Linked DNA regions of Saccharomyces cerevisiae S288C. The protein of the gene in region 1 interacts with the protein of each later gene in a biochemical or structural test. Each region holds a gene or a part of one and is shown in the gene's direction. Other genes may lie near its edges.

Region 1 (10,564 bases):
ACTAGTTCAGAGAGTCGAGGTATACGTGCCCTTGGGTTGGGACCATAAAATCTTCCGCCAGTAGGGATGACTACATTATTGATGATGTGATTACAACCGCCCCAAGTTTTAGCAGCCAACCAGAGACAAGTAGCGACAACCAATTTGGCTTGGTCCCGTAACACGATTCTCTTGGAACAATAGCGGTCATATAATCTAACTGAATGAAAAAAAATACCATTTGTCACTCGAGTGACCACAGACAGCTCGAACAAAAAAGTGATAATGTTGGACCTTGTTTCCACGGGGTTCATTTCAGGCTGCTGGTCTATTAGTTTTGGATTAGGTTTGAACTTACATGATTGAGCAATAACATTGGTGGAGATTTCTTGGTGGTATTCTTGCAGCATTTCGAAGTGAGAAAGTAATTCTGCATTAGATAGCTCAATCGGATAGTAGTCCGGTTTAGCATTGATGACGAGTCCCATACGGGGTCTTGGTTCAGCACTAGCCATTGTCTGTCGTTAAATTTAATGAATGAATGGAAAAAAGAAAAGATTTTCTTTTGTATGCAAATTATGATGTGGTAAGCGAATGAATTGGCAGCTATAGAGTCTAGCAATGCTGTATATAAGAAGAAAATTTGACGATGAAGTAAAGTAGATGTTAAAATAAAAGTAAGTTGTCCTTGATATTATCTATTGCCAATTCACTAAAAAACCAGTAAGAGGAGCATAATAGTTACCAGAGTCGATTGCTATTTTTTTATATATGAAAGAGATAGTAAGTTAAACAAGTAGCCAGAGGCTGCGTGCGATACGCAAATAGAAGGCGGATCTGCGTTCTGCGTTTGCGCAGGCCTTTTTTCCTTTCCGTTTTTCAGTAGGCCTGTCAGATCAACATTTCGCAGGTTAGATCCTCAAAAAGGGCCAACAGTTGTTTCAGTTGGTGTTCATTTCAATTTTTAGCAGTTATACTTAACAGGCTACGCCAAATGTGCTCTTCGCTAGGTATCCGCATGCGGAAACATAACGGTTTTTGGCGCGTTTCGTGACTAGAACACGCAGTTTTGAGGTTCAGCGGGACGAATTTCGTGTACTTCCGTTGAGACAAATTTCGCGATGATTTCCGTTTTCGGAAAGATGGAGCCGGGTAAAGCGCGCATGAATTGATAACTTGGCACTTTTGAACCTCAGTATCATTATTAACAATGTATAGTTGCTTTAGTTCGCATTTCAGGGTAAAAGTGCGGAGGATACGAAAAAGATGAGATAACTTACAGAAGGAAACGAATAGTGGTTTCAAAAAATGCCTTTCACTCGTAGAGAAAACAATAAAAGTTACCGCACTCCAACACAGGCGATACTGGAGGAATATTTTCAAGAGTAAATAGAAGCAAAGATGCTTAAAAATGGATACTTGAACCAATTTTTCTGTAGCGGTATATTACGCTGCTCTTTTAAAATTATTTCTGACGCGACCCGTTTTTGTGTCGCTCGGTGAAAATCACGAAAAACTTGACACTTTGAAAACTAATACAACATAAAGAGACTGAAGACGAGGAAATCAAAACAACGAAAAAAGTCAATCTTCGAAGGAGCATAGAGGCGAATGACTACTGAACAATGAATCAGGAAGACAACACGGGCGGAGGGGGCATTTTTGGTCTTTTCAAATGGACTAAGGATGCGCTGTTTGGTACGGACATATCACCTTCAATGAAATATAAAGATCAGGAAGAACGAAGAGACCGATCTAGGTATGCCCAAGACGACACAAATTTTTCTATGAAGTTTGGAAATGACTCCAACAGGAGGAGTACAAACTTATCGAGGTCAAATTCGTGGTCTGGTCTGGATTCAACGCTCCATAGGAAGTACGAGTTACTCCCAGAGTACAACGAGAACGGCTTTAACTCAATTGTTAACGGTGACCACCACAGCAAAGAGAGAATACGATCTTTACGAAGTCCTGCTCCGATAGTACCGAGAGAACCACTTCGTAACGAACCTACGGATACATTTGGTCACAGACTACACACAAAAAGGAGAACTATAAATGAGCTTTCCAATTCGCAGATACCCTTTATACCACCTCAGGAAGACGACCCTTTGCTCTCGAAATTATTTAACAAGGATGGAGTTAATGAGGTTAGAAGATCGCCCTATAAGTTATCGGTTAAAGATATACCAGGCAAATTTCCATCTCCCTTAACAAAACGTGATGAAATAGACAATTACTATGTCCGGGACGAAGATGCTTGCCACAAGAATAGAGAGTATAAAAAGGCATATTTTGATCTTTTTGCACAAATGGACTTGAACAGTAGAGACCTGGAAGATTTGTGTGAGGATGTTAGAGAGCAGCGTGAGCAATTCCACAGGAATGAGCAAACTTATAAGCAAGCATACGAGGAAATGAGAGCAGAACTGGTCAACGAGTTGAAGAAATCTAAGACACTCTTTGAAAATTATTATTCATTAGGTCAGAAGTACAAGAGTTTGAAAAAGGTCCTTGATCAAACGATCAGTCATGAGGCTGAACTGGCCACTTCTAGGGAACGGCTGTATCAGGAGGAGGATTTGAAAAACTTTGAAATACAAACATTGAAGCAAAGACTATCCGATTTAGAGCTGAAATATACCAATTTGCAAATAGAAAAGGACATGCAGCGGGACAATTATGAATCCGAAATACATGATTTATTATTACAGCTTAGCCTTCGTAATAACGAGAGAAAAGATACTTCTGCTGGTTCGAATATTTTTTCAACAGGACAATAGGACAGGACTCCATTCCACAATGGAAATAACAGTTACGACTCTAATTCGCATTCATGGGACACTGATTACTTAAAAAATATAGACGGATTCATAGAACGCTGAAGCAGAAAAGCTGACACGTTTCTCCCACTGTAACATTAAAAATACGTCATGATAGCAATGATAATGTGTTAACTACTTAGGTATGTACATTATATAGATAACGGAATAAAAAAAGATACGTTCTTATTATCATCACTCAACACGAGCTGTAATTCCCGCCCATTTTTTCTTCATTATCAGGTTGCGATTTTGAACAAAAAAAGTGAAACTTGAAGTTACGATGTGACATAAATTTGTTAAAATAAAAAAGATAAAATTCAGGATAGAAGTAGGTGCAACGCGAAATTGTCTCTGTCTACTTGTGCCTTGAACATCGAACTTACAACAGATTAACAAAGTATCGTTGCTCTTTTCATTCGTCTGTTCGTTATCATCATTGGATAGGGCTTACTTTCTCGCACGTGATTTTTCCCACAGTATAAATTTTGAGCTATAAGTGGTAATAAAAATTCAATAAAAATATAGGGAAAACAAGCCCAGTAGTTTTGATTTCTTCTATCATGTCAGCTATACAATCGCCAGCACCTAAACCTCTGCAGCCAACTTATCCAGCTGCTTCGCCAGCTTCCACGAATGCATATATGAAGCCGGGCCTAATTGGTAGTCCTGCCGTCAGTAATCATACCGAGCCTAACAATGGTAACAATGAAACTGCGGAGCCTCAGGGACCAAATCAGAGAATTGATTTGGGTGCCATGATCGAAGAATTAACCTCACTATTGGGAAAAGAAAGCTGGACGAAATATGCTCAGATCATCAGTCTTTTCATTTTAGGGAAGTTATCCAGAAAGGAACTTTCTAATGAATTAGAGCTGGTATTTTCACCAAGCGCTGCAAGCTTAGAAAAATCAAATACAAATCATCACCATAGTTTAGTACGACTTCATAACCAACTTTTATTAGGGATTTTTGCTAATTCATTACGTGAAAACCCTCTTGGGAGAAACGGTAATGAGAGTTCTTGGGGATTTGGCAATGGAAGCAACAATCCAAACAATAAACTAAAAAGAATCAATAAGCATAACTCTCAAATTGAAGTCTATAAAAAAATTGTCATGTCGTTACCTCTAAATGATCGAAATAGACTTAAAATGATCACGAAAGAGGCCGGCAAAAGAGGCTTCATTTTTTGCTCTGTATTTCAAGCCAGATTAAATAATATACCCAAAATTCCCATTGTAACCAATCCAGAAAGTTTGAAGCGTGTCAAGAGCAATAATTTAAAAACGCCGCTGGAATGGTCACAAGATATAATGAATGGATTCAACGTTCCTTTAGCGAGCGAAAGCCATTCTTTACCAGACACGGATTCGTTTTACTTAAGAATGGTTGGTATAGCAAGAGAACATGGGTTAGTCGGCACAGTGGACGCACGTTGCGTAGAGCTTATATCATTGGCCCTAGATCAATATCTAAAAAATATAATAGAGTTTACTATTGATACAGTTCGTTATAGAAGGAAGAAATATTCAGATTATTATGATTTGAATGAGAGTGGGCTTTATAAATCCGTATCAGAAATGGCTGCTGATAAACGCGATGCCAAAATTAAGCAGTTAGATGATGATAAAAATGAGGATGAATGTGCCGATGAAGCCAAAAGTATTAATAACGGCAATAACAGTAGCAAGGACGATATTGGCGACATATCAATGAGCAGCATTACAAAGGCTGGCGAAGCAGTTAATGAGGAGTTACATGAAAACAGAACGATATCATTAACGAATGAAGACATATATGATTCGTTATCTATATTTCCGAATTTGGTTGAACCTTCAGGTTCATACTATGCGTTAACTAATTTAGGGCTAGTTAACGATGATGAACTAGTAGATATGAAGAGCAATATTGACGACTTGCCGGACTTCTTAAATGAAAAGCCGACTTTCACGCCTTTGGATGAAAGAAACGTTGGTACAAGGCATGAATTAAATTGGTTAATTAAAGGAATCTTAACGGAAGATTGATGTATAAAAAGTGTGTGTATGCGGTATGTTGTAATTATATTGAAAGATTATAAACCTTATTTGTTTCATATCTAAATGGCTGTGTTAAGAAAGACGATAATGTGACCGAGCTTAAGTGAGCTTTTTCTTTCTTTTACAAAGTTGTGTTTGAACTTCTTCTGAAATCGTTAATAATTTATTGACATTTTTTGAATCGTTCAAGTTTAGCAAGAAAAAGGATTTAGTATCAGAAATTAGTTTTTTCAGAACAAGTGCAATAGGGGTCTCGCATGATTCCTTCTTAAAGATGCTTTTATCAAACTGTTCAATGGACTTCAGATTATTTAACTCGATAAAATAAAAGTCCACCGGTACGGGGTCATTGTTGCCATCGCTTTTTGAATCTCGAGGAAAAAACTGCACCTTGATTATACCCATCCCAGAATGAGGTAAATTTGGGTGTTCATCACAACTAAAATTTAAGGGCAAATCTTCGAGTCCATTTTCTATGATGACAAGTTTGGAATCCAAAGAAATTGAGTGTTTTTCAAATTTCAACTTTATGCTATCTTTATCATTGTGGGAATAATCCAAGAGCATGTCCTGAGAAAATTCGTCATCTGATAAAAATACAAACTGTAAGGTGATCACATATTGTTTTTGATATATTGTATCCTTTTCGGCCAAAAATTTTATTAGAGACTCTCTCAATGAGCCATGTGGAGTGGTGCTTAGAGATATTAAGTTGAAATTTTTTTTTTGGTTCAGGCACATATCATGGTAAACGCTATACTCTTGAGTGAAAAATTTATCTTCAGAAACTTTTAAATGCGGTATCACCCTATTAAATTTGTAAACATGTTCGCTTAGACCTTGGGTTATTACGCCATTTTCGTAATCAAATAAAAGGTTCTCAGGCAAATTTTGCTCCATCACGTAAGCGTAACAGCGCATCGTGCCTTTTTGTTCAATAATAGAGTTTTCAAGTCTCCTACTCCGCAGGAGTTCTTTTTCCACAGTGTTATAGGTATCATTATAAAATTTTTCCTGTTTAGAGGCCATTTCTTTCAAATTTTCCATTTGGTTTTGTAAATGTTCCAAATCTTGCGAGTTTTGTAAGGATTTGCTTATTAGTGGGTTGTTTGCCAATTCCAATTGTTTTATATTTTCATTTATTTCTGAGATGTTTTGTTCCGAATATTCAGCTTGTCTATCTATATCCATGATCTCCTTGTGTAACTTCTCACTTTCCGATTGTAGAGTGGCTATCTGATCAAGTAATTCACGATGTTTGTTTGTCAAATTTTCCATGGATTTTAACTTAGCTTCTTTGAATGCAATAAAATCCTTCCTCAATTGTGATTCGTGGTTTACTTGTCTTTCCAAGTTTTGCTTCTGTAAATTCGCCCAATTTATGTTGAGCTCTTGCAGCGTTTTCTTCAACTGAGATATTTCCTCTGTGATTTCGTGGTCAGGCTCGACATTTTCCATTATTTGCAGCTCATTTTCCCAAAAGATAAGCTTATTATTGTACAATTCTTGAGATTCCTGCCTTTTCAAGATCAGATTCTGGTCGAGTTCAGCCTGCAAGGTTGCCAAAGCGGATTTGTTCTTCTTAATTAAATCAGCGCGTTCACCGTCCTTGGAGTTCAGATTTTGCGTCAAATCTCTAACCTGTTTGAGATACTTTGCTTGTTTGGATTTTTTCTTATAAAGTTCAAACCTGGACTTATTGAGATCTCGAAACTTGATGGTTTTGATTTCTCTTTCGCACTCAATCAATTGAGTCCTGAGAGTATGTCTTTGGAACCTTATTTTGTCTTGGCGGTCTTTTAAGTCCTTAATTTTGCTCATGTTGATGTTTAATGATGCAGATCGAGATACAGATGGGAAGGAATCCTTTACGGGTGGAAGAGCCAATGAACTCTTCATAGACGAAGGTCTAGAGCCATTCATGGTGTTTGTCGTGTTTGTGATATCCATAAGGTTTCGAGATTTTGATGAGGACACATTATCGGGATTGTGAAAGATTCTATTCTTTGAAAGAAAAGCGTGTTTGTTTTGCTGTGACGCCATAAAGTACACTGGTCAGGAAATGGTGCTTTTGCGAGGAGAATGTGTGTGTATGTGTGTGTTGTTAGGGCATTTCATATTCTATATTCATTGTTTTTTTGTTTTTTTTGTTTTTTCAGTTCTTTGTTTACCTATTTTTTCTTTGCCGCAATTGCAAATATTATTAACTTAATTGCGATTATTGAGACTAAACAATAAAGACCTGGCAGTGGAGGCATGACAGAGGATATCGCGAAACGATTGTTTAAGAGTATATTATAAAGTTGACTTGTTTCCTTATAATTATAATTATAAATATATATATATAGATTATTCACAGGAGAAATTGGGGGCACAAATGAGGGGTAAAAATGCAGACATTAACTAAAATCGTTGTTATTAACGTTTCTTGTCATCTGGGGCAGAGCGACTCTAATCCCATCGATATCTTTTGACATCTTAATCTGGCACCCAAGCCTGCTTGTCTCTGTTAGCCCGTAAGCAAGATCGAGCATATCGTTTTCATCATCTTCAGGTTCCGGCAGGGCATCGTAGTAGTCTGGATCAACGATGACGTGACAGGTGGAGCAGGCACAAGAACCGCCGCATGCGCCCTCCATGTCCAGGTTGTGACCTTGAGCGATGTCCAGGATGGTTTCGCCCTCACAGACTTCGTACGTCTTCTGGGAGCCATCCTTCAGAATAAAAGTTATCTTCAGTTCTTCGCCTGGTTTCGGTTTTTTCAAATGGCCATGGTTTAAGAACGAAGACGTAGAGAAGGGCAGAAATCTTGTGGTTGTGGTGGTGCGTGTGAGCAGAGATGGAGAGGTGCGTAAAAGATGTGCTGCGATGTTCGATATTCTAGCTGTGTGTCCAGCCCGAGTAACAATTTTCAGCATTGGGGGCGGGTTGAGTATAGATACGAGAAGCGCCTATTTCGTATGAGGTTTTTTTTTTCTATTATTATGTATATTAGGCATATATATACATATATATATTTTGCATACATATTCATTTTTAAAAAAATGCAACTGCTACACGCTTTGAAAGATTCAATGAAAAGTTTTTCCGACGACCAGAATTGGCTAGCAAAAAAACGAAAATGTAATGGAGTCATGCAAACATGACTAATAGTAACAAAAAAAAAAGATATAGTAGAATTGAGTAAGTAAGTTCTATGTATATTGTTGTTATTTTCTCTAAAAAAAAAAAAAAACTATGTAAAATTAGGAATTAAGAATATGCTTGGAAGGAATGCCGATTTAAAATGTGTAGGATATGCGATGCAAGGGGTCGTGAGAACAAGTAGAGATGTGGTAAAATGCGTCATACCGATGACAACCACAGTCTGTAGTTCTGTTGTGCGACATTGGCAAAGGCATCGTTACTTGCAAAGGCAAACCCAGAGGCAGAGTTAGATTCCTTACTAGCAGCAGCAACTGCACTGGCGGCGTTGCCGTTAAATTCCATATCGAACATGCAATCGTCTTCAGTACTCGTTATTATGTTGCTGTCCGTCTTATCTTTAGTGTGCGTGCATTCTGACTCATCGACAATCGGGTACGATAGCGGAAAAGTTAGCAATTCTTGCTGGTAAGATTGAGAAAAGTCATCGGCATAAGTCGATCTGTCCGGGCTATGCGAGAGCATAGGGGGCTCGAAAGCAACGTTTGAAAACGAAAGAGGGAAGACCTCGTCTTCATAGCGCGAGATGGGGGAAGATTCCACAGAGGACATTGTAAATAATTGTAATTGTATATTATTGTGTGTAAGTTTGGTTGGTTTGGTGTAGCCAATTTAGTTTGGTTTTCTCAAGAATAAAACAAGTAAGAAAGAAAGAGAGTTGCTCCAGACCCTTTCCGAAATCAAGATGAGTCCTGTTCTTATATATACCTTTTTACGCAGAGCCGCTTCTTTATGCACCGTGGAGTAATTACCGAATTGCAAAACCACCCGGGTGTGGATGTGGATGCAAAATAACAGTGAAATGAGTAATAACAATGGTCATAAACATGTGGTGTGCAATGTGTCATCTTCGCGCGCGTGCTAAAAAAAACGAATAACGGTGGTGATCCCGCGGCTTTCCACACTGACGGGGTCACGTGTGTTTATTCTGTTTTCTTCTAACGGCTTCTGTAGATTTCCGGACGGTTCCACGCAGCGCCACAGCTTGGTTCCAGATCGACGGAAGAGAACGTGCAACCCTTTGGGCTGGTTATGAAACAACGCAGATGGAGAATATGGCTCACAACCCCAAGGGACTTCTTGGTTTGGTTTTGTTTACAGTTTTTTGCTTGGCAAAGGTGCCATCGTTTGTCATGATAGCATGACGGTAGCAGGCATCATTGATTTTGCAACTGTTGCGGACCAGGACAGTGGGTATGGTGTAACTTCTGTAACACACCCACAAATGTGGTTGAGTCTCTAATGGAGATGAGTGAGTGGGCGAGCCAGGATAGGGTCTTTGGCATGTGCGGTGCTTACCCGGAAGGGAGATGCGCACGTGACTGTTGAAAAAGGGAAAAGCAGAGGTAATGAATGACGAAGTCGGTTCATTGCATGTGCTGTTACACTTCTTAAATAGATATCGATTAAGAATTACTATAATGATTTGTTACTTATTTTTTATTAACTAGCTTTGGGGGAGAGCCATGGAAAATAGCACTCGGTCTTGTGGCGGAGTTGGATTTGCTTGACTGTGGCCCCCTCACGCTGTTTAATGACGACGAGAGGCAGCAATGATGTTGTTCATTTCTTCGACCTTAGCCTTGGCTCTGGTGAAAGAACCCAATCTCTTCTTGGCGACCTTTCTGGCTCTCTTTTCACCGGAGTTTCTGATCAAATCGATCAATCTTCTTTCATATGGGGACAAACCGGCGATTTCTCTAACCAAAGATCTGACGAACTTGGTTCTGTTGGAGGCAGCACCCTTCTTGTAGGAGATCTTTGGGGCTGGAGTCATTTGGGTGACTTTCTTACCCTTGTTCAAACCAATAGCGATACCTAGAGGAAAAAAATAGAATATCTTATGTTAGTAACAAGCACACTAGTACTCACGTAGTATACGAGCAAAATAAATAAACAAAGACTCCACGGAGTACTGCAACGCTGGGTGCAGGATATAAACGATGTTTGCATATCTCTGGAGCTTAATCTCATCCTGTTTGTATTTCTGTTGTTGGCTTAGTGGTTCAGTTCATTTTGCTTTTGCTCTACAGTTCATTAGTTCAGGTAAACATACCAGTCTTGACAGCCATTTTGTATTATCCTTGCTTCTCTATTCTGTTTTGACTATGGTAATACACGAACTTAAGACTTAACGCTAATTAAAACGAATATTCAAGAAATGCAATGATGTGCCTCTTCCTCTGCCTCTCTCTCTCTCTCTCTCCTAGTGCATTCATGCTAGCTTCCCTCGTCGGGCTTCCCTGAACAGCCTTGGTTGGCAACCCAATGAAAAAGTTCCGCGCACGCGGTATGTGCGTCTTTCGCAACCAGACCTCTCGGTCATGGTCGTCTCCCGCACGGTAAAGCGGAAACAAAAACCCAACACATCCGTGGATGTACGGGTGAAAATACAGTCAAAAAAAAAACAACAACAACAACATTGTCTAAACGAGTCGTGATGCATTTTTTAACACAAATTGGAGAGGCACACAATGTGCACACAGCGCAAAACTATACATCTATTTAAAAACTTTT
Region 2 (10,568 bases), on another chromosome or scaffold:
CTGATGTTATTATTGCTATTATTACTTCCTGCGGCATTGTCCAGAGGGATGTTGCTACCATTCGCTGGATTACCGTTACCACTAGGGCTATTATGGTTATTGGAGGAACCTTTCTGCCTGATTATTTTTTCCAGCAAATCTTCTCTACCTCTAATGAAGTTTTCATTTTCAAATTGCCACTTATCATCTGAACTACTTTGAATTGATCCTGACTTGACATCTTGAACTTTATGCCATCCATACATGTTCAATTGTCTTACAAAGGAAGCGAAATTGGAATGTTTAAAATATTTTGGTAAAATTTGGTGCACAAATTCCTCCCTATTCGTGACAATAAAAGATTTTCCATCCTCCGCCCACTGTATAAGTTTCGTATTAGAATCATCGTTTAACATGCTCCATAGTTTATTAACAAATGCAGGCCGTGATTTATGGGATTGATATCTTCTTGTGGTTTGGCGCGGTTGCGCGTTAGTGGTTCCACTTGACGGCTGTGCCCTGTACACAGCATGTTGTAGTAAATCGGGATTTTGCCCATAAGGAACTGGTGGATGCGCGAGTAACTTAGAAGATAATAATGTACTATTAGGATTAGTATTTTCTCTGCTATTGTGACCGTATAGATTGGTTTGGTAAATTCCCAATGGAGTACCTCTCCTTACTAAATGTGTACTGGTGGAAGGTTTCCTTGAGTCATGGAAAAAAGAGGAAGAAGGAACCGGCGATGCTGCTGACTGCGGATCCAATGAGGGGTTAATAATATCTTCAATGGCTGTGGAAGATGTAGTACTTGCATCGGTACGATCGGTCGTAAAGATATCGTTCGGTTGTAAGATTTTTTCAATGTCATCATCATTCAAGCTTGGTAAAGGCTCAATACGGGGAGCATCGCTCACGTTTGACTCATTGGTCGTCCCTGTATTTGCAGCATTATTCATGGCGCCAACAATACAGCTGTCTTTTTGTCTTTTTTGTTTCCTTTCCCTTCCAGCGCTGTTCGTAAAGCACACCTCTAACTCTTTGCCTTTATCTACCGGAACAGTACTGCTATTTGGTATTTGCTGCCAAGTGGCAAAATCTCTCCTAAAAATTTAAGTTATCTAGTTTTACACTCGCAAAGATAATGTGGTGAATGGGTTCTCCCTTCTTTAACAACCCTATTTCAAATATAACTCTTGCGTTATAACACTCACTTAATATGCATGAACTGCATATGACTAGAAGTGCGCTTGTGTAAATGCCTTCACGGGTATATGACAAACCCTTTGCCTTAGGTTACCATTACATGAAGGACCTGCTTTACTTCGAACCGAGATATTTGCTAGAGAAAGCGCGACGCGCAATTAACCGTAAACAGGAATAACATGGTGTACGACTCAGTCTCATCTCAACGTCCTCCACAAAGGCATCACGGAATATAGATATACTACCAGACCGTACACAACTTCATTGAAACAGTCCTAGTCGGTACTGTTTGTTCAAGAAAACGCATCATCCAAGAAAACGTGTTGTTGCTACTGGCCTTAGTGGAGTATTTTTTTTGGCGGCTCCAAGGTTAAGAAAGAAAGCTTTACAAACAATTCTGTCTTTGACAACGTAAGTATGAGTAACGGTGCGTTTGATGCTATTTTTGAGTACGCATGGGGCCAAATTGACAAACCCATCAGTGGAGACTTTATATATGGTAAAGATTTGCCAAAGCTAATCGAGATAATTGAGAATATCTTTCAAAAGGCACAGAAAAGTGGTTCCTATGAGCTTCGATTGCCATTGTTTTCAGAAATCAATAAAGATTTGTTTCGCACGTTTTCTAATACAAAAACCTTCTTTAAAATACACAAAGAAGAATTTGACGATATCTTCTTCAATTTGGTTAATCACCCCCTCAGGGAAATCTTAGAAAACGCGTTCATTGGTGTAGATTCTATTCCAAGTGATTTTATCGTAAGCATGAATTTGAATTCACCTTCCAAATTTCTGGTTGAGAACAAGAACAAGAATACAGAGGGGGCTGGAATTTCGACACCTAGGAAGAAGCTTACTGAATCACCTATCAAGCTGTTAAGCAGGAATAATATAGGAAAGGCCTTAGAGGTGCAGGTGGAGGAATTGAAAAGAGAACTAACTGCGAAACAAAGCCTCCTTCAGGAAAATGAACGACAAGTAAGCGAATTGAAAATAAGGCTCGAAACTTATCAAGAAAAGTATGCTTCCATACAACAGCGGTTCAGCGACTTACAGAAAGCTAGACAAGTGGAAGATAATCAAAATAGCTCCAGAACATCTGACCCAGGATCACCTCTGGTAACGGGAATCGATCAAAAAGCCATTCTGGAAGAGTTTAGAAGAAGATTACAGAGACAAACAGACACCATATCTTTCCTAAAGGATCAAATACGGCGAGAAAGGGGGCTCAATTGCAGTAACGATAAGGTATCACATTCAAAACGAAAACATGCAACCACTGATGGTGATGGGACTTTCAAGAATTTTATTTCCGCGGTTCCCTCCAACATATGGGTAAAAGCAACAATAAGAATTATAGTCTGTTTCGCTTTACTGGCAGGTGTCCTACCATACATTAGAAAATACGTATATGCTCATGACACACCATCCCAAAACTCAAGGTTACAATTATCATGGTGGGAAAATAGTGGCATATTAAGCAAGATTGTATGGTTCTTTGAAGATCAGACAGATTTAGAAACTGAATACCGTTCAAATGCCAATGTGGATGACGCATATAGTAGAGTATTCGGCATTTAAACCTTGGCCTTTGCACCGTGCCACTTCATACACAGTGAAAATAGTCACGTAAACCGTTCATGATATCCTTCAATTCAAAATAATTCAGCATTGATGTGCGTCTACGACAATCGCTAGTCCTAACTTTATTTTTTTTTTTTTTTTTTACATCTGCCGTCACCCTTGCGATGAACGAGAAAAAAACCGCCTTTCGAAGTATAAAAAGGATGAACTCGATATTTCAGCAACACATTCTTTACCTTGGTCTTTTCTCATTTTGTTACAAAAATATATACTTATAATAGCACAGGTTTTATTATTTTAGATATGCATAACACAAAATAATGTGCGTGGCAGCGTTGATAATAACGAGCTAATGTCTTATATCTCATATGAGTTCATGTGATATTTCATGTTACAGCTCAGATGCGTAAACTCTCTATCCAAGATGAGGAATAGGATAAAGAGATGTATTTATTTAGTGATGATACTGCCGATTCTGGCATTCCAAAAAGTGACTAGCAAAATTGCGATGTTGTCAACTTAAATTACACCATCTTTCGGGGCTGATATTTAATACATCTATTTTATCCATTCTTCTACGTATTACGTTTGTAGCTTGGCCAAAAAAATATCTTGCATAATTTGTACTCCAGTTCACATCAGTTGAGTAGAGAATAGCTACTGATCATATAAACACCCACACATATCTATAAATCCGTACCTTTCCTATATATATATATATATTTTTTCAAATTTTGTCTGAAATTCTTTCTGCAGGTTTGTCGCTGCCGGACGCGACTTCTGAGAATCATTGCCATCTGTATCTGTATCACTTTGACAACTTCATCCTTTCTGAAATATTGAAATAATCAAGACACTAGATCTGCCTTGTATTGTCTTCGGTTCATATAAATCCAAATAACCAACCAAGCAAATTAAGATCACAATGGCCGCTGAGTATGTATACGAAATCGTCTATTTTATTACTATTTCCTAAAGTATCCAGAGAAGTATACTAGTTTCCGCAAGTTACGTTGAGAAAAAGGAGCAATTCTGCTCTAATAGCATTTGCACTCACACTTACATTTATCTTCAACTTGTGACTATTCACAAGATGATTTTCCGTAGGGGATTACCTTCACAGGGTCAAAGACAATTTTAGTTGATGAATTTGAGGAAAAATTTGAAATATCTTGATTGTTGCCAAAAATTTCATCGCCGACCTTGATTAGAATATTTTCTCAAATTTTCATTTCCTAAGTGTCTCTGTTTCACTCCCTTCATTCGAATGAAAAGTGGTGTTTTCAATTCGATGTAACTTCGTAGAAAAAAGTTTTACTTGATGGTCATACAAACCTAATTCATTCTATTTTCGGTTATGCTAACAAAAATATTTTATTATTTGTATTATTACAGAAAAATCTTGACCCCAGAATCTCAGTTGAAGAAGTCTAAGGCTCAACAAAAGACTGCTGAACAAGTCGCTGCTGAAAGAGCTGCTCGTAAGGCTGTATGTTAAACTTTTGCTTACATTTATATTTTATGCTGCAACACATTTTCTTACTGGGATATATGTGAGTTCACGTGCGTCGCCAATTTTGATAAGTATCATTCGAACAGTTGCAATATTCTCAACACCTGTGGTATCATTAGGCTAATGGACTATTTGTTACGTTCTGTTTGTTTTCTCATTTTATGATGAAAATCCATTGTATCCCAATACATATTCGACTAGTCATTGACGATGCTGTCGTAACTTATCACCATCTTTCGACTGATTATAAGAAAAGAAATAGAAAGTAAAATAGACCAGAGAGTTAAGGTATTAAGGTTACAATTATTGCCGTGTTTCCAGTGTCAGAAAAACCATTGAGTGATAATGCCGTGTAACAATTTTTAGCATAAAATACTGTGTTTTCCATCTGGTATTTTTTTACTAACATCAATTTACTGTTTTTTACTTTTTATTTTCATTTAGGCTAACAAGGAAAAGAGAGCCATTATTTTGGAAAGAAACGCCGCTTACCAAAAGGAATACGAAACTGCTGAAAGAAACATCATTCAAGCTAAGCGTGATGCCAAGGCTGCTGGTTCCTACTACGTCGAAGCTCAACACAAGTTGGTCTTCGTTGTCAGAATCAAGGGTATTAACAAGATCCCACCTAAGCCAAGAAAGGTTCTACAATTGCTAAGATTGACAAGAATCAACTCTGGTACATTCGTCAAAGTTACCAAGGCTACTTTGGAACTATTGAAGTTGATTGAACCATACGTTGCTTACGGTTACCCATCGTACTCTACTATTAGACAATTGGTCTACAAGAGAGGTTTCGGTAAGATCAACAAGCAAAGAGTTCCATTGTCCGACAATGCTATCATCGAAGCCAACTTGGGTAAGTATGGTATCTTGTCCATTGACGATTTGATTCACGAAATCATCACTGTTGGTCCACACTTCAAGCAAGCTAACAACTTTTTGTGGCCATTCAAGTTGTCCAACCCATCTGGTGGTTGGGGTGTCCCAAGAAAGTTCAAGCACTTTATCCAAGGTGGTTCTTTCGGTAACCGTGAAGAATTCATCAACAAATTGGTTAAGTCCATGAACTAAACTGGTTGAAGTCACATTACATATAACTACTTATTTTATCTAAGTCCTATATAGTTCTGTTATTCACTAGTTTGTATATTGTACCTCTAATTTATCTTATAATTTCGTCAGTAATGACTTATAATTGGCTTTATTTTCTTCTCTTTTTTTTCACATGCGCAGAACCTATATAACGAAAAAAAAAAAAATGAAAACTGAAGATAAGCGGCCTTGACTTCTCTAAACTGCCGATATTTCAACGAAAGTTAGCCAACTTATTTATAAAAGCCTTGAATACCAACAATTGGAAAGAAGGTGTCTGTGCTTATCATATATAGCTTGCATAAAGAAAAATTATAATATCTTCGAACTTCCATAGAAAGAATATCTTTCAGTGTTAACTGGCTCATTTACTCAGAAATTAGTATTTTGAAGAACGATGAGTATTCGGAATGATAATGCTTCCGGTGGCTATATGCAGCCGGATCAATCTTCGAACGCTTCTATGCACAAAAGAGACTTAAGAGTTGAGGAGGAAATAAAGCCATTGGATGATATGGATAGCAAGGGTGCTGTAGCAGCAGATGGTGAAGTTCATCTAAGAAAGTCATTTTCGTTGTGGTCAATTCTTGGTGTTGGATTCGGTTTGACTAATTCCTGGTTCGGTATTTCTACATCGATGGTTGCAGGTATATCTTCTGGTGGACCCATGATGATTGTTTACGGTATAATTATTGTTGCCCTGATTTCTATTTGCATTGGTACCTCGTTGGGTGAATTATCTTCCGCATATCCGCACGCCGGTGGTCAGTTTTGGTGGTCTTTGAAGCTTGCCCCTCCTAAGTACAAAAGATTTGCGGCCTACATGTGCGGTTCATTTGCTTACGCAGGATCCGTGTTCACAAGTGCTTCAACTACGTTATCCGTTGCTACCGAAGTGGTTGGTATGTACGCTCTGACGCACCCTGAATTCATCCCAAAGAGATGGCATATATTCGTTTGCTTTGAATTGTTGCATTTGTTCTTGATGTTTTTCAACTGTTACGGTAAATCCTTACCTATCATTTCATCTTCCTCTCTATACATTTCCCTACTATCCTTTTTCACAATTACAATTACTGTATTGGCATGTTCTCATGGAAAGTTCAACGATGCAAAGTTTGTTTTTGCCACATTTAATAATGAAACAGGTTGGAAGAACGGCGGTATCGCCTTTATTGTCGGTTTGATTAACCCAGCTTGGTCATTTTCGTGCCTTGACTGTGCAACCCATATGGCGTTTGAAGTTGAAAAACCAGAAAGAGTTATTCCCATTGCTATCATGGGAACAGTCGCCATTGGGTTTGTCACTTCCTTTTGTTATGTTATCGCTATGTTCTTCTCTATACAAGATCTGGACGCTGTCTTGTCTTCTACAACAGGCGCCCCAATCTTGGACATTTATAATCAGGCATTGGGTAATAAATCAGGTGCGATTTTCCTGGGTTGCTTGATTCTATTTACCTCTTTTGGTTGCGTCATTGCTTGTCACACTTGGCAGGCAAGGTTATGTTGGTCATTTGCCAGGGACAATGGTCTTCCATTATCCCGTTTATGGTCGCAAGTTAACCCACACACTGGTGTACCTTTGAACGCTCATTTAATGTCATGCGCTTGGATAACCCTCATTGGCCTACTTTATTTGGCTTCCAGTACGGCTTTTCAGTCCTTAATTACAGGTTGTATTGCATTTTTATTGTTATCCTACATCATTCCGGTTATATGTTTACTTGCTAAAAAGCGTAACATAGCTCATGGTCCATTCTGGCTTGGAAAATTTGGATTTTTTTCAAACATTGTTCTTTTGGGTTGGACTGTCTTTTCTGTGGTCTTTTTTTCCTTTCCACCAGTTTTACCTGTGACAAAGGATAACATGAACTATGTTTGTGTAGTTATTGTTGGTTATACTGCGTATTCGATTCTTTACTGGAAATACAAGGGTAAGAAGGAATTCCACGCTTTAGAAGAATCTGAGAACGAACAGGCTGAATATAGTAATAACTTCGATACCATTGAAGATAGTCGAGAATTTTCCGTTGCGGCCTCTGACGTTGAACTCGAAAATGAACACGTACCGTGGGGAAAGAAGTGAATTTATAGTGTTGATCAGTCGACCGTTATTTATTTTAAGTATATTATTTGCATAGAAGTAATAAAAGTGAATTTTTTTTAATGGTTTGTTAAGCCATTTTAGACGAGGGACTAAGATATTTCAACCTAAATATCCCTCAGGCTTTGCGCTCTTGAAAGCGATGTGACTGTAATTCAAATTTCTTGAAATATTTTTGCGGGAAAAAGATGAAAAATTTTTCACCTCATCGCATAAGAAGCAAATAAAAAAAAAATATTAATAATAGATAGGCAACAATATAGCAGCTCAGAGATATAGCTTAACTTCATTTTACAGCCTTTTAACGAAAGCATAAGTATTAACAGTTTGATATATAGGGGATTAAAATGACAAAGGAAGAAATCGCAGACAAGAAGAGAAAGGTTGTAGATGAGGAGGTAATTGAAAAAAAGAAGAGTAAGAAACACAAAAAGGATAAGAAAGACAAGAAGGAAAAGAAGGATAAAAAGCATAAAAAGCATAAGAAGGAGAAGAAGGGTGAGAAGGAAGTGGAAGTACCAGAGAAAGAATCTGAAAAGAAACCTGAACCTACTTCTGCAGTGGCTAGTGAGTTTTATGTTCAGAGTGAAGCACTAACCAGTCTTCCACAATCTGATATTGACGAATATTTCAAGGAAAATGAAATTGCTGTTGAGGATTCTCTGGATCTAGCCCTACGTCCGCTATTATCATTTGATTATCTTTCTTTAGACTCTTCCATTCAAGCAGAAATTTCCAAATTTCCAAAACCAACGCCTATTCAAGCCGTAGCCTGGCCATATTTGTTATCTGGTAAAGATGTTGTTGGTGTTGCTGAGACCGGTTCTGGTAAAACATTTGCTTTCGGTGTTCCAGCTATCAGCCATTTAATGAACGATCAAAAGAAAAGGGGCATACAGGTTCTAGTCATTTCCCCAACTAGAGAACTTGCTTCCCAAATTTATGATAATCTGATTGTATTAACTGACAAGGTTGGTATGCAGTGTTGTTGTGTTTATGGTGGTGTTCCAAAGGATGAGCAAAGAATTCAGTTAAAAAAGTCACAAGTGGTGGTTGCTACACCTGGTAGATTATTAGACCTATTGCAGGAAGGATCTGTTGACTTATCTCAAGTTAATTACTTAGTATTAGACGAGGCAGACAGAATGTTGGAAAAAGGTTTTGAAGAAGACATCAAGAATATTATCAGAGAAACTGATGCGTCCAAAAGACAAACTCTAATGTTTACCGCTACCTGGCCAAAGGAAGTCCGTGAATTAGCTTCCACGTTCATGAACAACCCAATCAAAGTATCTATTGGTAACACGGACCAACTAACTGCTAACAAAAGAATTACACAGATTGTTGAAGTGGTGGACCCACGTGGAAAAGAAAGAAAGTTATTGGAACTGTTGAAAAAGTACCACTCTGGTCCAAAAAAGAATGAAAAGGTCTTGATTTTTGCTCTTTATAAGAAGGAAGCTGCTCGTGTTGAAAGGAATTTGAAATATAACGGGTATAACGTCGCAGCTATCCATGGTGATTTGTCCCAGCAACAAAGAACGCAAGCATTGAATGAGTTCAAAAGCGGGAAGTCTAACTTGTTACTGGCCACCGACGTTGCAGCAAGAGGTTTAGATATACCAAATGTTAAGACAGTTATTAATTTAACTTTCCCATTGACTGTGGAGGATTATGTCCATAGAATCGGTAGAACTGGTAGAGCTGGTCAAACAGGCACAGCACACACTCTGTTCACTGAACAAGAAAAGCATTTGGCTGGTGGACTGGTTAACGTTTTGAATGGTGCCAATCAACCTGTTCCTGAAGATTTGATAAAGTTCGGTACTCACACTAAGAAGAAGGAACATAGCGCTTATGGTTCATTCTTTAAGGACGTCGATTTGACTAAGAAACCAAAAAAAATTACTTTCGATTAGGGGTTTTTTCGTTTACTTCAATCTTGGATTTTCTTCTCTAATAATAGCCAATCGAGAGTCGGAGATTTATTAACAAAACACTGTATATTACTATTATAACTGCCCACTTTCATTTATCATTAATATTATTTAAATTGACTCTCACATAGTATACATATTTTCTAGAAAAAAAATACGATTCAGTATATCAGCAGTCATGGTCTTCATTCAATCTGCGCTCAAGAATTTTTTCTCTTGCCTGATTAAACTCTATGGGGAAATCGACACGCAAAGCAGCGTTTAAATAGTCGATGTTCTTTCTTGAAGTTTCTAAATCACGTTTTATTTTTTTTGAAGTAGCCTCACCATTTTCAAACTTCTCTTGCAGTTGAGTGAGCCTGCTCTTCATTTCATCAATATATTGTTTAAGCTCTAGGCTTTTCGAATTTATAACAGCGGAGGTTTTGGTCTGTAGAGAAAGTGCCTCTGAGAAATCAGCAGAATCAATAGATTGTTTTAGAGAATCAAAAATATATCTAGAAACGTCAAATATTGGACCAGGATCCTGGGCATCCGTGGGTAGCAAATTGCTTGACTGAGGGATATCGTTATCTAGGAACAAATCTTCGTCAACGTTAGATTCATTGTCCATTTCATTTTGCTCCACAACATCTGAAACGTTACTTCCATCACTATCGAAGCTACCACTTGAGTTGCTAGTGGTGCTGATCGAATCATGGAAAGAGCTGGACATTTCCTCTGTTATAGGAATCGCGTAGGATTGAGAATTAATACTGGGTGTTGAAGAATGAACAGCCGAAAAAGTCTCTTCATCATCATTTTCCTCCGATATTCCGGTCACCATTGTTCTTCACTAAGTGTTGGTAACCATTATTTTGCCTCTCTTATTATTTTACTATAATATAGCTGCGACTTTTCAGTGAAAAACGTTCTTTTTTAACTTTTTGAATGGCTGAATATAATCAGTAATACAAAGGAGATGAGAGGGAAATTGTCTTGGATATAAAAGAAATATTTGAATAAAGACATAATAATTATTTAGGTTATTTAGAATATGTCATCTTATGTAGTTTGGTTCAATACTAACTACTAAATAAAATGAAACTCATAGAGATAATGGTTCTATAGCATGCATATATGAAAAGGAGAAGAGGTAAAAATGAGA
Region 3 (5,776 bases), on another chromosome or scaffold:
TGGTCGGTAAAAAACCAGTATCCTCCTCATTTGTGTCCAGAGGTGTTGAAAAGTTCAAGGTGTTAAACTCACCAGAGATTCCGTTGAGGCTGGGTTCACTATTGGTGGTAGAAACGACGTGATCATCATCCTTAGTCCATGCATTAGAACTGGTATTCCAAGGATCACTGCCTTCGTAATTGTCCATTACTTTTTTTTTCGCCTCAGTGGTGTTTTATAGAATCCAAATTCGATTGCTTTTACTATTATTTCTCTTACAACTTGGGTGAAAAGAAGTGGCGTTCACCCTGTTTTCATTGTACCTTCCTTCCTCACTTTTTTTTCTGGCATGTGTTTCGTAAAAGCGCCTACCTTAACCGAAAATGACGGCAATATCGAGATGATCTGGATCAACAATAACTTATTGAGAGCGTAGAGAAAAGTAAAAGTGTCTTAATAAATTATGAAAGAATATACAGTTCAATTAATTACAGTGCTAGAATTATATTTCTAATGGTCAATGGTAGGTTTAGATTCCTGAGGTTCGAGGTTCCACCAAAGACACGATAACATGAAAAATCCTAATAAGAATATTCTATCCCTTGGTTGCAAGTGTGAATGAACGTCGCAGGGAGTTTCGATAACAGGTGTGTTCTGCAGTGAAGAAATATTTTTTTCAATAGTTCTAAAAGTTTTATCACTAACCAATTTCTTCGTGATTTTGATTGGATCATTTATTAATATCCTCTTTTTTTTGGGTTCATTTATCTTCACACTACTTTTTTTATTTGAACATGAATCGTGCGTGATAAGTCTTTGTAGCAAATCTGATTTGCGACCTGATAATTTTAACCCTCTTGATTTGCACTGCTCTTTGAGAACTTTAACTGTAAATTTTTGAAAAGGTGTTATATCGTTATTATTCATTAAAAAGCTCAAGTGGCTCTTCGTTTGGGTGCTATGTACATATCTGTGTAGGCTCACCTTGTAAGCACCGGGCTGTTTCAATAGTAAGGTAAACGGTAAATATAGAGATCTCCCTGGCTCAGCCGCCCGTATGCCGGAGAATTGTTGTGAAACAATTCTACCTAATAGAGAAATTGACATGTCTTCTTTCAGAAGCTTTACTTTGCCGGTTCAGCTGCACTAGGTGTCTTTTTGAGAAACATGCGTATCACAGGCCCTTCTGAAGAAGAGCATAAAATATAGTAAATAAACAAACTCTTCGAAGGTACTACGTTACCCTCCCCTGTTGAGAACTTCATAGGAAATGTCAGCCACACCGCGCGGTGGGGGTGCAGATGATTAAATGATTATGAAGTCAATAAATTGGATGATTTGATTTATAAAAGTTATTTACATACAAAATAAAACAAATAAATATCCATATATATAAGACATTTAGTCCTTATTCCTTTCATTTTTTCTTGTTCTCACGTGGAGTATGCGATTCTGTGAAAAACCATCAAAAAAAAATAAGTCAAATGACATGGTTAAAACAAGAACATTACCGAAATGTATGATTTTAGTGAATATTTTCTAAATTTTTGAGCTTTTAAACTTAGTATTGACGTGCAGCTTCCTGGCAGGCTTTTAGTTGCTGCAAGTAATAATCACATATCTGGAAGTTGCCGTTGTTTTCATCCAAACAACGTGTAAAGTTTCTCGCGTCTATTTCACAAGTTCTTCCCAACTGCTGGTCCGTTTGGGTTTGGCCGGAGGTGTTGGCCATATTTTGCTGTTGTTGCTCAACAGGAGCGGAATCAGACCCGGATCCGGAAAACATACCGGTAATACCTGCACCTAGGGTGTGTCCAATGGTGCTACCAACGGCAACACCTGCAGCAGTGGAGGCCATCTGCGCAAACATACCTGGCTGTCTCGTTTGGGCACCTGCAGCAGGAGGGTGTGAATAGGCATTTGGTTGTTGTTGTTGTTGTGGATGAACTGGAGCCGCCATGGTAGAAGCGGACCTTGTCTGAGTAGGTCTCGATCTCGATATAGGTCTTGATGATCCTCTTGAACGTGCCATATTTTAGAATTTTGTTGCTGTTGTTGCTTTTCTTGTTCTGTTCTTTGTTCGAAATATTAATCCTTTTTCTTAAAGGTTATAAACTGTACGAGTGATAGGCTTATATAGGTCGCGGAGATTGCGGTGGAGTGAAAAAGCGCTTTTCTTTTATACCTTTGTTCAAGGTGGCGTTTGCCGTATAAAAGCACACATGACATAACCGAACCTCGGAAAATGAAGTTGCACTGTTATTGCCTTCCAGATGTGTAGAATCATCACCATCTTCTGTGATAAATGAAGAGGGAATCGTACGAGGACGCCAGCATATTTTTACATCAAAATTTATGTTATTGTTGAAGGAACATTGAAAAGATAGGGCGGGCAAAATCTGCGATCAAGCCTATCCTCTTTCATCTCAGCTGTTCTAGATGCGTTACCCGGTGGTAACTTCACTGCATATTATTACTTTATATACCTTATTCTATATGTTGCCCGGGTAGGGCATTATGTAGCATCACCCGGAAGAACTTTTGGACTTTTCTCTGTCAAAAGATATTACCTAAAAGGGTCAAAACAAAACAAACCCAATAAAGAAAATCCAAAATATAGAACGAATAAATATCTCGAGGACCTGGGATGATCTTTGAATGTACATCCTTTGAAACAAGGCATATCTTGAACAGTTACTCTTGTGCTACTCAACTTTCGTACAATACATATAGAATCACTGAGAAAGTAAATCCAATTCAAGCGGCAGTTTCAAAGAACAATAAGCCTTTTGTGTCAAATTCTGATTCTGCTTTTTTTCCTATTTTTTCATCCTTCAATTTTGTGGCATATACTACATTAACTTTCAAGAAAACTTAAAAAAGAAAAGACAAAAAAGCTAAACTGCATAGTCAAGTTTGTATAATTGAGCTGAGTATTATTTTTTGTACACAAAAACATTGGCTTTCTTATATCTTCTCTATATATACTCTCTTTCATTCATCGATAAACGTTACATTTGTTATTCATAGAGAATAAAAATCACAGCCGTGGAGAAGAAAGAACAGAGTAAGATCAAGTCGAATAAAGATGTCGTTGGGTCCTCTTAAAGCTATCAATGATAAGCAATTGAATACCCGTTCCAAGTTAGTTCACACCCCAATAAAGGGAAATACCGCAGACCTCGTAGGAAAAGAAAATCACTTTAAACAAACAAAGAGACTAGATCCGAATAATGATCATCACCACCAGCCAGCTCAAAAAAAGAAAAGGGAAAAGTTATCAGCTTTGTGTAAAACACCACCTTCATTAATCAAAACAAGAGGAAAAGACTATCACCGAGGTCATTTTTTAGGTGAAGGTGGATTTGCTCGCTGTTTCCAAATTAAGGACGATTCAGGCGAAATTTTTGCTGCCAAAACAGTTGCTAAAGCCTCAATTAAATCAGAGAAGACAAGAAAAAAGTTGTTGTCGGAGATTCAAATTCATAAAAGTATGTCCCATCCAAATATCGTTCAGTTTATTGATTGTTTTGAGGATGATAGCAATGTCTATATCTTATTGGAGATATGCCCCAACGGTTCATTAATGGAATTACTAAAAAGAAGAAAAGTTTTAACAGAACCAGAAGTTAGATTTTTCACCACTCAAATATGTGGTGCAATTAAGTATATGCATTCAAGAAGAGTTATACATAGAGATTTAAAACTTGGTAACATCTTCTTCGATTCAAACTATAACTTAAAGATTGGTGACTTCGGTCTGGCAGCTGTGTTGGCGAATGAAAGTGAACGTAAATACACCATATGCGGAACACCTAATTACATCGCACCTGAAGTGTTGATGGGTAAGCATTCTGGACATTCATTTGAAGTAGATATTTGGTCATTAGGTGTTATGCTTTATGCTTTGTTGATTGGTAAGCCACCCTTCCAAGCAAGAGATGTAAACACTATTTATGAAAGAATCAAATGTCGTGATTTTTCGTTTCCAAGAGATAAACCAATCTCAGATGAAGGTAAGATTTTAATAAGAGACATTCTATCCTTAGATCCAATAGAAAGGCCCTCTTTGACTGAAATTATGGATTATGTATGGTTTAGGGGAACTTTCCCACCATCTATTCCTTCGACGGTCATGTCAGAAGCACCAAATTTTGAGGATATTCCTGAAGAGCAGTCACTGGTTAACTTCAAAGATTGCATGGAAAAATCTCTACTATTAGAAAGCATGAGCAGCGATAAAATTCAGCGTCAAAAGAGGGATTATATTTCTTCAATTAAATCTAGTATCGATAAACTAGAAGAGTACCACCAAAACAGACCATTTTTACCACATTCTTTATCCCCTGGCGGGACGAAACAGAAATATAAGGAGGTTGTTGATATAGAGGCACAAAGAAGATTAAACGATTTGGCTCGTGAAGCAAGGATACGTAGAGCACAACAGGCCGTTTTGAGAAAAGAATTAATAGCTACATCGACCAATGTCATTAAATCAGAAATCTCCTTGAGAATATTAGCCAGTGAGTGTCATCTTACTTTGAATGGCATTGTAGAAGCAGAAGCTCAGTATAAAATGGGAGGTCTTCCGAAATCAAGATTGCCTAAAATTAAACACCCAATGATAGTTACCAAGTGGGTCGACTACTCCAACAAACACGGATTCTCCTATCAGTTATCAACAGAGGATATTGGTGTCTTATTTAATAATGGCACCACAGTTCTCCGATTGGCAGATGCAGAAGAGTTTTGGTATATTAGTTATGACGATCGGGAAGGTTGGGTAGCAAGTCATTATTTATTGAGCGAAAAACCACGAGAGCTAAGTAGACATTTAGAAGTAGTTGATTTTTTTGCCAAGTACATGAAGGCAAATTTGAGCCGAGTATCTACGTTTGGCAGAGAAGAATATCATAAAGATGATGTATTTTTGAGAAGATACACAAGGTATAAACCATTTGTTATGTTTGAACTAAGTGATGGTACTTTCCAGTTCAATTTCAAAGATCATCATAAAATGGCAATATCCGACGGAGGTAAATTGGTGACCTACATTTCTCCCTCCCATGAAAGCACCACATATCCCTTAGTTGAAGTACTAAAATATGGCGAGATCCCAGGATATCCAGAAAGTAACTTTAGAGAGAAACTAACTTTGATAAAGGAAGGTTTGAAGCAGAAGTCCACAATTGTTACCGTAGATTAAACCAATATTAAAGTAGAAAGAAATACGAATACGAAATTACCAGTCCATTGATTGGGCCCCATTAATAACTAATACTAAATAAAATAAATGGTCTTGCCCTTAACGAAGATAATATATAATATTTACCCCTAGCATTAATACCCTTTTTCTAAAGGTACGAAATGAACAAACATCTTTCATGTTAGTTCTTCCTTTTCAATAGTTCTCATATAGCGTTTTTTTTCGCCTGAGCGGTTCTAGAGCTATATCTATTCAAAATTGCCATGCTTTTGTATTCATATTGTATGTATGGGATGATAACCTGTCGCTTCCTGAGATTTTCTCAAAAATATTGTTTTGAACCTAGATTTCTTTTTAATTATTCTTACAGGTGCCCATTGGAAGAGTGACAACATTAATTTTGAAAGCTATTCACTTGGTACATCCGCGGTTTACCAATTTTTAAGTTTTATCAAAAGCTGGCTTACTTGACATGTATCTACAAACTTAAGAATACTATTATGGGCAGTTATTTGCTAATTCTTTGTTACCTAGTTAAAATCCAAAAAATCCTGATTTATATTCATTTTATTACTGTATTCCTTTTTTCAA

What was found.
Region 2: the proteins of BBP1 (region 1) and MPS2 form a complex in vitro, tested with the Saccharomyces cerevisiae proteins (3 studies listed by BioGRID).
Region 3: the proteins of BBP1 (region 1) and CDC5 form a complex in vitro, tested with the Saccharomyces cerevisiae proteins (2 studies listed by BioGRID).

The regions. Positions count from the first base shown.
Region 1 is NC_001148.4:66,121-76,684, forward strand, and holds BBP1 (Bbp1p), read left to right. Parts: upstream 1-1,604; coding exon 1,605-2,762; downstream 2,763-10,564. Other genes in the region: cyclin CLN2, read right to left, coding at 1-494; HFI1 (Hfi1p), read left to right, coding at 3,365-4,831; VIK1 (Vik1p), read right to left, coding at 4,943-6,886; YAH1 (adrenodoxin), read right to left, coding at 7,243-7,761; ATG41 (Atg41p), read right to left, coding at 8,189-8,599; 60S ribosomal protein eL36 RPL36B, read right to left, coding at 9,579-9,865, 10,104-10,119; GTPase-activating protein GYP5, read right to left, coding at 10,549-10,564. UniProt on the Saccharomyces cerevisiae protein: Component of the spindle pole body (SPB) required for insertion of the nascent SPB into the nuclear envelope and for the proper execution of spindle pole body (SPB) duplication. Connects the central plaque of the SPB with the half-bridge.
Region 2 is NC_001139.9:359,123-369,690, reverse strand, and holds MPS2 (Mps2p), read left to right. Parts: upstream 1-1,602; coding exon 1,603-2,766; downstream 2,767-10,568. Other genes in the region: stress-responsive transcription factor HSF1, read right to left, coding at 1-938; 60S ribosomal protein uL30 RPL7A, read left to right, coding at 3,695-3,705, 4,165-4,258, 4,727-5,356; HNM1 (Hnm1p), read left to right, coding at 5,775-7,466; RNA-dependent ATPase DBP3, read left to right, coding at 7,832-9,403; KXD1 (Kxd1p), read right to left, coding at 9,591-10,247. UniProt on the Saccharomyces cerevisiae protein: Component of the spindle pole body (SPB) required for insertion of the nascent SPB into the nuclear envelope and for the proper execution of spindle pole body (SPB) duplication.
Region 3 is NC_001145.3:268,428-274,203, reverse strand, and holds CDC5 (polo kinase CDC5), read left to right. Parts: upstream 1-3,067; coding exon 3,068-5,185; downstream 5,186-5,776. Other genes in the region: MVP1 (Mvp1p), read right to left, coding at 1-187; AIM34 (Aim34p), read right to left, coding at 490-1,086; MIX17 (Mix17p), read right to left, coding at 1,541-2,011; YMR001C-A (uncharacterized protein), read left to right, coding at 2,627-2,857. UniProt on the Saccharomyces cerevisiae protein: Protein kinase required for the cell cycle where it is involved in mitotic exit. A component of the fear (CDC14 early anaphase release) network which promotes CDC14 release from the nucleolus during early anaphase. Phosphorylates SCC1/MCD1 and NET1.